Linked DNA regions of Alligator mississippiensis. The protein of the gene in region 1 interacts with the protein of each later gene in a pairwise test. Links are inferred from orthologs where the notes say so. Each region holds a gene or a part of one and is shown on either strand. Other genes may lie near its edges.

The links. The genes of interacting proteins can lie anywhere in the genome.
Region 2: the proteins of ATXN3 (region 1) and RAD23B interact in a two-hybrid assay, tested with the Homo sapiens proteins (2 studies listed by BioGRID and IntAct). The link is inferred for Alligator mississippiensis from reciprocal best matches to the Homo sapiens genes ATXN3 and RAD23B.

What each region holds. Positions count from the first base shown.
Region 1 is NC_081825.1:275,333,716-275,341,567, forward strand, and holds the start of ATXN3 (ataxin-3), read right to left. Parts: upstream 3,021-7,852; 5' UTR 2,946-3,020; coding exon 2,922-2,945; exon of another isoform or gene 2,876-2,921; intron 1-2,875. UniProt on the Homo sapiens protein: Deubiquitinating enzyme involved in protein homeostasis maintenance, transcription, cytoskeleton regulation, myogenesis and degradation of misfolded chaperone substrates.
Region 2 is NC_081826.1:159,380,842-159,388,064, reverse strand, and holds the start of RAD23B (UV excision repair protein RAD23 homolog B), read right to left. Parts: upstream 3,007-7,223; 5' UTR 2,793-3,006; coding exon 2,727-2,792; intron 1-2,726. UniProt on the Homo sapiens protein: Multiubiquitin chain receptor involved in modulation of proteasomal degradation. Binds to polyubiquitin chains.

The DNA of each region.
Region 1 (7,852 bases):
CGCCAAGCCAGGAGATGCCCAGCCGGGATAGGGGGGCTGCAGCCAGGTGGCTCCTGCCCCAGCATGCGAGGTCCCGATCCCAGCTCCAGGCCACCTTCCATCCATTCAGCCACCCACAGGTGACTGTGGGACTGTGGCAGACTGTCATGGGCGGGGCTCAACCCCATGTGGGTGCAGCAGCAGGCCAGATTGGAGGGGGGGCAGCGCTGACTGCACTTGTACCTGCCCCTCACCTGGGTGAGCTGTGCTGCACATGCCCCCTTCCATCTTTTTCCAGTACCTAGTATGCAGGCAGCTGCCCACACATGTCCACACGCTCCCCACAGCATACAATAGTAAGACTTTATTTTGAGCTATTATACAATTACCTCTATATATGGTACTCAAAACATAAATCAGGACAGAAAATCTTTTTTGAGATAAAGTTTTAGTAGATGTTTGGATTTTAATATAGGATTTTAAATAAATTATAGATTTTAAAAAACAAAAATATCTGAAAGATTTTGTGTGCAGCCCTCAATAGCTCACCAAAACTCATTAAGTGGCTCACCAGCCAAAGTAATTGTCCACTCCTGCTCTAGCAGCAACTTATAGCTGTAGTTTCTAATCAGGCTCCTGCTTACTGCCCCTTTTGTGGCAAGTCACAGTTGTGCAAGTTCAGAACAGTCAGAGAAGATTTTAGCCTAAATATGTAACTTATAAAAACTCGAGTTAACATTGATGCTGATTGACTTCTGAATGTAGAATGAATACAACCAAAAATCTAACTAAGACTGGGGACACACCTCTTGGAGGACAATCACTCCCTCCCCAAACTCTCAGTTCTAATTCTCAAAGGGAACTTACAAAACACTGTCCGTAGACGAGCCTATGAACTTCACTTTATGACTCTACTGGAAACAAAAAATCATGGACTCAAAATAGACATTGGTTTTATGACACGTTACAATCTATCCGACATCCGATTCACCAGGTACCTGCCTGACCTGACCTCTTACATTCTTCTTTTCCCCCACCTTTTCTCCTCTCCTTTTCCATACTTTTCTGTTCTTTATCTTCCTGATTTCCATATATTTCCTCTCATTGATGCCTCTTTTTCACCTTGTATTATTGCCTCTGTATGTTCCCTTTAGCCTTTTTTCCTTCCTTAGCTTCCTTCCTCCTCCCTTCCCTACTTTACCTTTTTTCTAATTTCTACCTATTTATATTTTCACTGACATCCTGTCACATTTCTAGCTTCTCTCAGTTCTGTTTTCCTAATCTCCAGCTATTCCCTTTTTCACAGACAGCCTCTTTTCTACCTTGTATTCTATCAGTATAATGTCTCCCTTCTCTTTCCCCTGCCTTCTTCCCCCTCCCTCCTCTGCCTTACCTTTTGTCTTTCTAATTTCTACCTATTTACATTCTCACCGACATCCTGCCACACTTAACTTCTCTCATTCCATGGAGTCTAAGACCAGCAGAGACTCCCTATGCCTGAAGAAGGGTGACTGTGCCTGAAAGCTTGGCTAAGGACTTCCCCCCCCCCTCCCCCCACTACTCAGTTGGGGTAATAAAAGATATCACATCTACTAAAATACCTTGCCGATAGACATTTTGAGAAGCTTGAAGTATAATATGTAACAAAGCCCATTTATCTTCAAATAAATTGGGATAGGACTAAAAGGAGGGATGGACAGCACAAAAGTATGGTTCAGATAAGGCAAGGTTCTTTGAGTAGATGTGGTATCTTTCATTAGACCAACTAAATAGTTGGAAAAAAGGTCTTTGTAAGCTTTCAGGCACAAGCACCCTTCTTCAGGCATTGGGAGACTGCTCTGCTTCCGAGATCTCCAAGGCAGGAAAGAAGCCAAAAGTGCTACAAGACATCTGTGGAAATGTAAATAGGTGGAAGTTAGGAAGACAATTGGTAGAGATAAGACAGGGAAAGAATGCAGACGGTAAGCTCAGGCAGGTACCTGGTGAATCAGATGTCAGGCAGGTTGTAATACGTCACAAGTCCAATGTTTATATTAAGTCCATGAATTTTGTATCCATTAGACTTACAAAGTGAAGTTTTGGGCTCATCTATGAAAGATGTTTTGCAAGTTTCTTTTGAGGATTAGCAAAGAAAACTTACAAAACACCTTTTGTAGATGAGCCTACGAACTTCCTAGTCACTGAAGGCTGCTATTCCCTCCATATTAAACACTAAAGCTAACTTCCTGTTACAAGCAAAAGGTTTAATTTTTTTCCCCCTCAGTTTCCTTGCCTCTTGACTCACCCTTTATGTCACAAAAGCTCACATAAAATAAGTTACCTTAGAGCAAGGGTGGCCCATGAGCCAGATCTGGCCCTTGGCATTGTATCATCTGGCCTGTGGGAATACCCACCCATCTGTGGGTTGTAGTGCTACATGCTAGTTTAGGCACAGTGGTGCAGGGCTTGATCCTGGCATATGGGGCTAGGTGGGGGTAGCACAAAACCTCACAGCCTGATCCCAGTGGGCAAAGACAGTGTGCTGGGGTGACACAGGACCCAATCTGTGGGACCTGTGGGGCCAGGCTGGAAAGGCCCCTGCTACACCAGCCCCACGGGCTGGGGGAAGTAGCTGCAGCACCCCCCTGCGACTGCAAGACCTCCAGTGCGCCACTGAGGAAGCATTTATTCGAGTCCCACCAGAACAGGCTGGGCGAGACCCCATGAAGGCCAGCCCAACGCCCTGCTCGAGACGGAGCGGGGGTGCCTGTACCAACACCGTCTGCGCTCGCGGGCCTGGGCCCCGGCCTCTCTACGACATCTGGCGAGAGGCTCCCTCGCACTAAGAGGCCCGCCCTGCCCTGCCCGTCACCTGACGCAGGGTCCCGCCCGTGCCCGCTCCCCACCCCGCTCTTACCGGCGCGGAACGCCCGCCCCCGACCGAACCGCTCCCGCCCGCTCACCCTCTCGTGGAAGATGGACTCCATGTTTATTTGTCTCGAGCCAGCGGCCTCCGCCTCACGTGACAGCGGCCCAGCCAATCGAATAGCGTTTCACCAGCAGCCAATCGCCGCAGCAGTCCCGCTTCCTTCCCTGCCCTCAACGCGGCCACGTGGCTCTCGCCCCGCCCAATAACATCTCGACAGGCAGATCATGTCTGCGGCAGCTGGGCCGGCTGGGGAGGAACGTGCTTCCGGAGTAGCGTCACTGCCGCCGGCGCGGGCTCCCTCTGCAGGCCGGGAGGATCCAGACGCTGGCGCGGGGAAGGGAGGGCTGCACGGGCGCGGCCGGCTAGCGCAGCAGTGGCGCCCGCTGCCGGTTGCGGAGCGCTGGGTATCCTGGTCCGGTTCCGCCAGCCCGGGGATCGGTAGGTCTGGCCGAAGGGGTGAATTAGGAAATACATTTCCCAGCGCTTCTTGAGCTGCACGCGGGGCATTCAGGCACAAAGACGATGGCATTTTCACTAGGATCTACACAAACCTCTCCCCCGGGCACAACAGGCAAGGGGAAGGAGTAGGGAGTTATTTCTAAGCAACAGGCCATGTCTGACAATAATACTGAAAACAGGAATGAGTGAAAGAGAAGACACGGGAGAAGGGAGGAGAAGGTGTATCTCACCAAATTTAACCTCATTCATTCTCCCAGAGGCTGGTACACGAGACAGAGTGGCCAGGCAAAGACCACTGCTCCCCATCATTGTCATATCCAAACACTGAAATCCCAGACTGATGACATGGCAGCATCATTAGTTGCTCCATCCATGCTGTTTAGCTGGCTGATGTTTCCAGCTTAAAGAAAAATAAGCGTGTCTCACTCTTGGATGCTTCAGTTGGGCTTTGCCTTCTTTCTCAATCATTTGAGGTCCCTCTGGGGCTGAAGGGCCCAAGTCCTGAGCTAGGAACAGGAAGGCTGGCAGTTTAAGTCTGGTTGTAGGAAAGTGATCTTAAGTCTCAATTTATGGGCTGGGGCACATGACTTCTGAAGAGAGGCTGAGGGAGCTGGGCTTATTTAGTCTGGAGAAGAGAAGACTGAAGGGGCATTTAATAGCAGCCTTCAACTACCTGAAGGGCTCGAAAAAGGATGGAGCTGGACTGTTCTCAGTGGTGGCAGATGACAGAACAAGTAGCAATGGTGTCAAGTTGCAGCAAGGGAAGTTTAGGTTAGATTTAGGAAATATCACTATATCATTCACTAGGAGGGTACTAAAACATTGGAACAAGTGACCCAGAGAGGTGGTAGAAGGGCCATCCTTGGAGATTTTCAAAACCCAGCTAAGCAAAGCTTTGGCTGGAAGGATAGTTGGGCAGGGGGCTGGACTAGATAGCTCTGAGCAGGGGGCTGGACTAGATGACCTCCTGAGGTTCCCTCCAACCCTAATTTTCTACGATTCTATGTTGAGCTGTCACTTTCACCTCTCCCAAATGGACTTCTAGCAGACTCTACTTTTGACTGCCATCTTGTTTCTCAGTTTCTGGGATGAAATAAAAAACTGGGAAGTTCTATTTATACTACCTGATGACTAAAAATAAACCCTTCCATTAGCTCTTTCCATAACATCCTTCTAAATTCAAAACCACTAGGATTTTGTTGCAAGTTAATACTTGTATCAACAACTGGCAAAACTTTCAGGGCATGGGCACGGGCACCTAGAAACACCGCCCCCCCCTCCCAAACAGGAACTTTTTAGAGGACTCAGCATTGCTCTGAGGCACTGAACCAACATACAGATTGGAAGAAAGTTATAAGGTTTTAGGGTCTGACCTTTTCCTGTTCTGCAGAAGAGTCCCCATAACAAGAAATGCCACAGCAAGGAAAATGAGAATTGCCAGAGCTGGTCACACCAAAGGTCACTGATAGGAGACAGGACACTGATCTAAATGAACAAGCAGTAGTTCTCAGCATTTATAGACTTAACACACCCCTAGGAAAATGCCAGCTCTTAGCTTTCACTCATTTGTTACTACAGAAGATATAGTAATTCTCCTGTTGGAAAGAACTTGTAATGTTTTTACTACTGTGGATTCCTATTCAAAGTCTCTGGACTTAGCTTGTGATTCATGTCCATACACCCACCACTGCTAACTTTGCCACAGCACCCTGGTTGAGAATCACTGCTTTAGAGGGAGAAGATATTTAGAAAATGAATTCAAGGCTGCATCATACAAATTCCATATCACAAAAGGTAGAATTAAAAATCTGGATCCTTTGTGACAGCTGGAAATTATGTCTGTGTGATAAAGGTGCTTGCTGAAGGCTCTATGAAGATTAGACCGAGTGTTTTTCTGTATTTGTTTAGATATTAAGACAGCACTGTTGTGGAGGAGGTTTTGCCAATGAGCACCAACAGAGTGCACCTCAGCCCTGTTGGCCTTGGAGCCAGGGGCAGTAGATCACCCGGTAAGAGATGTGATCCGGCGATTAGTGCAGCTTTTACCCATTTTGCAGAAGCCAGGGCTGGCTAAGCCAACAAAAACTGCCAAGGCCATGGTGGTGGCCTCAGCAAAAGACAAACCCCCTGATCCCCCCAAATGGTTGGAAAAAGCTGGAGAGGGCCGGCCCAAGACTCCACGAGCGAAATTGTGGAAAGACTTGTTAGCTGCCAGTTTTAATAAAGTGCAAATTGATGGAGTGCCCACCAATGTTTTGGAAGGGCTGTGGGCTAAACACTGCAGTGAAAAAAGCAAGCCAAAAAGCAGAGCCATCTGCACCACCAGCAGGGTCACCAGAGGGATTCTCTGCCCTGAGGGCAGAACTCTTGACATTTTCCCAGGCACATGCAGGACTGCTAGCCTTTACACCCCCTAATTATGTGGCTTAGGAAGCCCGGCCGACCCAAGCCCCAATGAAAGGGGCCACAACGGGGGCAATAGTGGGCCGGGGACCGGTATCTAAAGTTAATATTGGCCCCTTGATTAAGATACCTGTACAGATTCAATTAGGTAAAAGTAAAAAGTCCATTGATATGCTATTAGACATGGGTGCCCAGATTTGAATTTTAGATTCTGCAGATTGGAAGGGGGAGAAAGGAACCCCTTATCAAGTAATTGGAGTTGGAGGCACCAGACGACCAGGACATCTGGTCCAAGCAACCTTCGCGTTACCTAATGACTCTAAGGTAACAGCAGCAGCAGTGATACTTAAGGGGGGACCAAGCTTACTGGGACTTAGTGTACTAAGAGAACAGCGGTTTGCCCTTGAACAAAAGAATTGGCAGTTTGGGTGCGCAGTGCCTCACTGAGAAACAGAAGAAACAGCTATAACAGCTGTAACTCGATGTAACATGATCCCACTAACTCTGCCTCCCATGAAAGGAGTACACAGACCCCAGTATCGAACTCCCTCCGAGGCCACCAAACCTAGCCAGTGTATCATAAGTCAGCAGTTAGAAGACGAAACTATTATCCAAAACCACTCCATATAACAATCCAGCATGGCCAGTGCACAAGCCAAATGGAGGGTGGTGACTGACTATTGACTTTCGAGCTTTGAATGCTAATACTGACCCCTTGATGGCTGTCGTCCTGTCACTACCAGCCTTGACAGAAAGCATCCAGTGTTATGGACCTGCGTGGATGGGATCCGTTGATATCAAAGACATGTTTTTTGCTATTCCCATCCAGGAGAGCCACTGGCCAGTATTTGCTTTCATGTGGATAGGGCAGCAGTATACCTACACCGTGTTGCCCCAGGGGTGGATACACAGCCCCACCCTGGCTCATGGGGTTTTAGCTACAATAGTTCATGAAGTCCAAGAAAATATAGATGATATCATAGTAGGCAGTCAAGACAGAGAGGCTGCCACCAAGGCCTTTGAATCATTAAAAGAGAAAGTGCTTACCTTTGAATTCACGCTGTCTGAACAGAAAATCCAAAAAGTAGGGTCCCAGTGTGAATTTCTAGGAATAGAATGGCAGAATGGGGGGCCCACAATACCAACTGAGGAGCTGCGAAATATAGTGGAGACCCCAACTCCCACTAACGTGAAAGAACTGCAAGCCACTCAATTTTTGGCATATGCATGTTCCTGAGTTTAGCGTATTAGCTCGTCCCTTGTATAACCTATGTAAGAAGAGAACTAAATGGGAATGGGGTCCTAAGCATAAATATGCCTTACAAGCCCTTAAAGAAGCAGTAACTGTTCATGCCTCCCTAGCAGCACGACGTCCCGAAGGAGAGCTTTGGCTCCATATAGGCGTCTCAGAAGGAGGACCACACTGGAGCCTGTGGCAGGAGTCCTCGGAAACAGAAGGAAAACCCCTTGGATTTTGGAGCCGAGGCTGGAGAGGGGCGGAAGCAAGGTATACTCTCTTAGAACAGAGGTTGTGTGAAGCAACAGCGGCCCTGGAAGCCACAGAAGCACTGACAGGAGAGTTACCCACAGTTATCACTACTCTGATACCTATTCTCGGAATGGCTCTGTCAGACTTCCAGCTACCACCTGGGGGGAGAGCCCAAAACACCACAGTCCAAAGGTGGATTTATTACATTTTGAGCCAGGTCCAACGAGTAACCCCAAAGGGATGCCCTGCATTAGTTGAAAGAGTCACAGAAAGTACAATTAATGTTTATCCTGATCAAACAAGCTGCAGTGAACCTTCACCCATCAAAAAAGCACCTCCTTTCTCACCTGAAATGGAGACCTCAGCCAATGTTAAAGTCTAGTTTACAGATAGGTCTGCTCGAGGTCATGCCTGGAGAGCAGCTGCCTTGAGGATTCGAGATGGCAAGAAAGTAGTATTACAAGGCCTCGGAAAAAGCGCGCGCAGTATGCCGAGCTCCAAGCAGTGCTCGGCATGGCTGTGCGGGAATTAGTAGAAGGTCCATGTCCTAGAAGGCCCATTTATATTTATAGTGACTCCTGGATGGTAGTAGAAGGATGTACCAAGTGGTTACC
Region 2 (7,223 bases), on another chromosome or scaffold:
ACAAGGATGTTAGGAATGAAGCAAAATATCTATGCATGTTTAAGCAAGGCTGTCCCACAACAGGTTAATAAACAGACCTCAAGCTCCTACCTGGCTGCTGCTCCCCTTACTGCTCCAGCTGCTACTGCAGCTGAGGTCTCTAAGGTACCCCTCCTTCCCACAACTTTTCCTTTTTTGCTCCTGTCCCAAGGGACAAAATGCCACACTACATGGCGCACAGTGGTGTGGCAGTGTGTGTGTGGGGGGTTAATCGTTCATGCAGTACAGGAGCTGTGGCTTGTAGAAGTGTGGCCCCTGGAGAATGCAGCCCCATTGGTATGGTCTGTGAACCACAACCGCTTACAATCTGGACAGTCCTGTGTTAAACAGAATGCATTTAGTCATTGGCTTGAAAAATAAGCTACCCTAACTTCAAGAGTTTCCTGTTGACACTTTCTTGAAGCAAGCTTTCCATACAAATGTTCAAATACTGTGGCAGAATGCTAACACATGAAAATGCATGCTCTGTTAACGAAAAAGCTGTGTAAAGACAACTGCCACTCACTCTGCCATTCCTCTTGCTCCTGGCATTTTTTCCAGTTTGAACAAATACCAGCATAGCAAAATGTAATTAAAACATAAACATACTTTTGTCTAAGGTGATATTTAACACTGTATTGAAGCTGAAGAATTTTTTTACCCAACTATGCTACTTTTACCTAAAATGGTTTACACTCCCAGATCATGCTAAATACATTTGCATCTCTAAATCCTAAACAGCATTCATTTTACCAGTAGCTTTACAAGTCTATAACTCCAGACTGTCATAATTGCTTTTCACCTATCAGTCAAGAATGTGTCAGCTACATAGTACTGCATCCACTTCAAGTAGTGGGAATCATTTAATTTCAATTAAGGGATGTTAGTAAACAAAGAGTGCCCACACAGCAGTACAGGAACAAGTGATTTGGTCCATCATCATGACAAATGTTTAACTGACAATGGTCATAGAACTAAGCCTGCTCAACTGGCAACACAGTTTTCTGTATATGATATCAGGGGTGCACCTATGACCCCTGCATGCTTGCTCCAAAATTCATTCCACAGAAGTTGAACATATCTCCTGGACTTTGAGTAGTATTTTCCCTCATTTCATACATTACAGGACTTTTCAAACCATGAAGTCTTTAGCCAGCCACAACTTTCTTAAAAATGGTTTTATATCAGGCGGGACAATCTACCATCTCCACTCAGTTATTTCAAAAATAGTGCTTTGACAAATATAGAACAGCTCATGTTTTAGGTCCAGCATTCAGAAAATGCAAATTCTGGTCACATCTTTTAAAATCAATGTAGCACTAATATTTAAAACTAGCTCTGAGCTACAAAATATACTCATTGCACTGAGCTTTTTCCTTTGTCAAATAGGAAAAAAGTAGTGGTTCAATGCCAAGTGTTCAAGTCGTTACAATACAGCTTATGACAGGGATGTCAAAGTTGTTTGGCCTTGTGAGCCAAATCCAGACCACAAGGCTCCCCATGGGCCAGACGACCCAAGAACATCAGGGGCGGCCACCATTAATCTTGTGGCTGCCATAAGTCCTCTCTTCCGCTGTCACCAATTAACATTGCAGAGAGACCCATGGGTCAAATTTGGCCTACAGGCTGTATGTTCGACATGCCTGGTTTAATGACAAAAAGTAGTTAATGATATTTTCAGTGGTATGTATAAATACTAACATGATTTCTGATAACTGCATACTTCTAGTGCTGAACCTAGAGCTGCTGTTTCAGGATGGCCTCACATTGTTGCTCAACCTCAGGCTTGTTTTAAGTTTGATTTGTACAGGGAAAGTAAAAGACAGAAAATGCTAGAAACAGCAGCAGGTTTAAAAGCAACAAGTTTCCTGGGCCTATCATAACCAGACCGTTTTGGCCAGTCACAGCACAGGGCAGTGATCCAAGTAAATAAGCCTACCTCTAGCACGGAGGACATGAAAACAGCACACGAAGTGTAATGCTCCAGGGGCTCTCCGGAGCAAACACAACCTGACTCTGCGCAAGCCTCCAACTTAATCTGGGGCAGTGGCACACTTCAGTCTCAAGAAATATTTAAAAAAGGAGGCTGAGGGGACGCTCAACTAGCAAAAGTGTGACTAACCAGGTGCCTGAAAAGATTTGGCGGTTTAAACAGGCTCCGGTTTTTACCATGAGGCTCTGGAGCATGAGCTGGCAGTACAGCCCTACCACCAACCCCCCCTGCCTGGGCCCGCTTTTCCAGACAAGTTTCTCCTGAATTTTGACCAGCCCTCTGAGGGGATTTCACAGCACCCTGACGGCTGCTCTGGAGTTAAGGAGAGCAGGGAACCATCGCTGCCTGTTCCGCCTCTAAATCCAGCCCAGCTCATGGCTTGAGAGGAGCCACAGCAGCACCCCTGGGGCCAGGTCTTCGCTCACGTCCAGTCCCAGGATTCAATGGAGAGGCTGGAGGCAGGCCTCTGGGGCCCATCCCCCCGCCCCGCTGGCAGCCAGGCCGTTTTGCAGTCTCACATGCCCAGGAGCGCAGGCCGGGCCGCCTCAGCCCTCGGTGCGGGGGCCCGCACTAAGGAGCCATGGAGGCCTGCGGCCTGCCCGGAGCCGCGCCGCACCGCGCAGCCCGCTCCGCTCCTCCCCGGCCGCCAAGGCCCTTGCGACCCCCCGCCCGCCCGCCCGCCCAGGCAGGCCCCGGCCCCGGCCCCGGCCCGCACCGTCTCTTCGGGGTCGATATCGATCTTGAAGGTCTGCTGCTGCAGCGTCTTCAGCGTGATCTGCATGGCGGCGCCGCGGGCCCAGCGAGGCCGCCCCCGCCCACCCGCCGGCTGCTGGCGCGGGCTGTCCGCGCTGCGCTGCGCTGCGCTGCGCTGCGCCGGGAGGGGGGCAGGTGCGCAGGCGCGGAGGGCGGGGGGAGGCAGCGCGCGCGCGCGCGCGGGAGCCGGGGGTGGCGGGCCGCGTGGGGGAGGGGTGGGTGCCGCCGCCGCTCACGGCCTGGCCGCCGCCATCGTGACTCGCGTCCGCAGCCCCCCGCGCCAGCCAGGGCGGGGGAGGGGAAGCGCGCGGCGCATGCGCGGGGGGGGGGAAGTGGCTGGTGCGCAGGCGCGGAGCGGGGCCCGAGGGGCGGGGCCGCAGGATTCTCCCTCCTCCATCCCGTCAAGTTCCCCTTAAAAATAAATAAAAGCCTCAGCGCGGGGTGAACTTGAGACAAACGCACGGGCTAGGCCCAGCGTGAGTGGTTATGCTGGGATAAGGACATGTTCAGACCCGGTCTGGGCGGGCATGCCAGGCCCTGGACTGTTCTGCTCCGGGACAGGCTGCATCTCACGTCTGTTCCTGGCTTCAGACCAGCGGCTCTTGGTCTCATTTGGACTGCAGTGCAGGCGGCCTCGTGCCGCCTCTCGCTCTTCCTCAACTGCGGGGAAGCGAGAGATGTCGGGTATCCAGGTTGCAGCCGCATTGGTCTAGAGGACAAGGCAGTCAGGACTTGCAGTAGAGACGATATCTTTTATTAGACCACCATGCAGCAACCGGCGACCCTCCTGGAGCACAGTGTATGCATGAGGGCCACCCAGACCTTAGCTGCCTATGCCTGGGTGGGATATTTTGGAGGAGCGGAGGCTACTAGACCAACAAGATGAGAGCAAGTCTCGTCCCAGAAGAACTCAGGAAGGCAGCCAGAGGGCAGCAATGGGGTTTTGACAGTGTGAATTCCTATCTGAAATCATGCGCAAGGGTTTGCACGCCTCGCCACACTAATATTGTATAGCGCTCTTCAAAGGGATGTCACAGCACCCTAGCTGAGCACCCCCTATGCCTTGGGTAGCAGGAGTAGGGAGAGAGGGTAGGTCTTTTTTTAACTGAAAGTGGCACCTCGTTCCCCTGGGAGAAGAGGAAGCCAGTCTTTAAGGCCAGGGTCAGACATTACACTTGTACTGGTATAAGTGATTGGAAACCAGTCTATACCTGTAATAAAACAGACATTCAGCACACAAAACTGGTCTATACTCGTAACAGAGCAGAATTTCAGCACAGACTGGTTTAAAAATGGTGGAACCCAGTCTAGGATTTCCCCCCCCCCCCCGGGGGCAAATGTGTGTTCTGTTCATAAATGACTCGTCCTAATACTCCAGGCCACTGGCAGAGCTCAAACATGTGATGTTTCAAAGGATGAGTAAAATTTAAGAATTATTCATGCAGATTTAAATAATTTTTTTAAAAAACCCGCCTATACCAACATGTCCAGGAACTGCTAACAATCCTGTAGGGTTTGAGTCCTAAATGGTAATTTTCCAATAGTGTATTGTGTGCAAATAATGAAATAACTCCACCAGAAAATATACCAGTGCAGAGGAAACAACCCCTTACAACCCTCCTCAAGGTCATGCATTTCTCATTAGACCTTATAAAATAAATGGCTTTTGCACTGTCCCCAAGTCATTGCGTTCAGAGTATTTAGATCATGGGGAAAAGCCCTCATAAAGAACATCCTGTGAGCAGCACCATCTTTTTTATATAAAAGGTTTCTCCTCAAGCGCTTTTGCTGGCCACTGCAGTAAGTGATGAGGAGAGAGAGTCTTTCAAGCCAGAAGGTTTGCAACGGTTGAGGACTCCAGTTACTGAAAGTCTCAGTAAAACACATACTTTGCTGAAAGAAGACAGTAGCATTCAGACATCTCAGTGAGTGATCTCCTTTTCCCATAATAGTACTGGATACAAACTACCCTTTTGAAATGTGTGGGCACCTGGGAGAGAACATTCATGTCCTACTGTCCCATCTTATTTTTAGTTTAAACATTGGTGCCCAATTACTGAATTAAGTTGGATGGTAGTGGACACAACAAGAAGGAGGTCTTAATGTTACTTACAGAAAATCCCATTGGCATTGCTATATTTCTACAAGAAATACATACTGTAAACTGTAGACACAGTCAATTACTGATGGACCACGCTGACCAGTGCCGACTACAGACCTAGCAGAAGCCTGAGTTATGAATATGATGTGCTTAAAATGATATACAACCAATAATCAACAAGCTTGCATTTAAGTCATAAGCAATAGCCTGGGTAAACAGAATAAGAATCTGTTTATCAAGGCCACTAGTATTAGATTAGGCCAAGAATGAATAACTGCTTTGTGGACAGTGTTTTATAGAAGCTAAAAGGTAACGACTGATGTTTTAAGAATTAAGTTGTATGTAGTCATCTAGAATTTTATTGGAGGAATAATGGGTCTTGTTTAACTTGTTGTCAGCCTTGGCCCCTTTCAAGGGACTTATGCTAAGTAGCAGCAGGGTGGTTAAAGCAGGCCACAAAGCCTGTTTCAGAATGAACTTTTGTAAATGTATTACAACTGGCTTAGTCAGCAAAGTTAAAGAAACAGAACATGGCAAATTGCATTCCCAGAGGGTGAGGGAGAGAGAGAGATAAGAGGTCCTCTCGCTCTCCCAGAGTTGTATTTTTCACAAGAACATAGACCTCAGCTAACTGGCTTCCACAGAAAAGCTGGGATAGTCCAGTTCCTAAAATCTCAGTGAAACAAAGAAATTTGAATAACACCAATCAGAATATTAAAATAAGCCACATATAAATATTGGGTATTTGGGAAAGGCCTCAACAAATTCAAGATGCCTGATGCTAGCCTGCATGCTACCTTCCTCCTGCCTTCTGCATCTCCCCCTCTCCCCCCCAGTTGGTATAGCTGAGAAACTGTGTTGTGCTCTTGCAGGTAACTTGAGATAGGGTTGGCAAGCCAGTCAATTGACCAGTCCAGTATTATCAACTGACTGGTCCATTAACTGCATATTTTTTGACTGGTCAAAAATTATAGCAATTTTATATTTTTTTAAGCTACATTTATTGTAGTTTTTTTGACAGACATATGATTTTTTATTGCTTTTTGACACATTCCTTAATGGAAAATGTTGTGCTTTTTCTGTATATTATTAGACCTATTGGCAAATTTTTACAGTTTTTGACTGACATTTGACCCGTCAACTGACTGAACTTTATTTGCCTGGTCAAATACCCTGTGTTGCCAACTCTCATGATTTTTGGCATTGTTCTTAAAATCTACACTTCAGGAATGTGAAAAACTTAGCTCTTTCTTTTATTTCTATATATAAATATAGATTATATATATGTATATAATCTATATATAAATATAGATGTAATCTAAATATAGATAAAAGAAAGAACTAAGGTTTTCACATTCCTGAAGCAGAGACTTTAAAAACAATGCCAAAAATCATGAGAGTTGGCAATTCTGAATACCCAGCCCTAGCTAGAGACAAATGCTTATTATTGTGCTTTGGTGTTGGGCTCTAGACCTGTCTCTTGCCTTTTTATCTGACTTGGGTGGTAGTAATATCTTATCTGCTAAGAGGGAATGGAGGATCATTGGGAAATGTGATTGTATCTTATTTGATGTTCAAAAAAAGTAATCATTAAGGAACGTGTAACTGACCCTTAACTTGTGTCTAAACTTGCAAAAGAATTCTCATCTTAGGCTGTAGTCTTGTCTCTCTGGAGACCGAATGGTACTTTGTTTTTGGTAACAATACAGCTACATTTTTACCCACATGACATATTTTTAAAAGCAAGAGTCTTTCTAAAATTTGTGCCATAGTTCAAACAAGGATTAATTTGGAAAGTCTGTTATGCTGGAGGTCTGATGAGATAAATCATTGTGACCCCTTCTGGCTTTATAATTGATGAATGTATTAATTATACACATTTGTATATATATATGTATATATATAAACACATTTGATATGGTTTTTAATACCTTTTTGAAGTTGCAACCCCTTTCAACATTTTCATTTGACCAGTACTTAGAAAAAAGAATCCAGGCACATTCTTGACTCAAAAAGGAAAGTCTATGGCCTGATGGATGTTGCATTACTGTAGTGTGACTCGGAAGAAGGCAGACCCATCTCTGCCACTGGCCGTTGTTCCATCTCAGCTGTGTGTTCTTGGGAACCCTGGCACAGGATGCAGTCTGTCTGACTCACCCCCTCCTCCCTCTGCTCCTCTACATAAATGAAACTGATTAAGATGCAGTGAGAGACACACCTAAGACCCTCCAGATAACGGTGACAAGAGTGAAACAACTGCCCTAGGTCTCATTTGCATCTGAGATGGAACCACATGACCATTCATTTACATGAGAGATGGAGAACAGAAAGCCTGAAGCAGAGACTGCAGTGAATTCT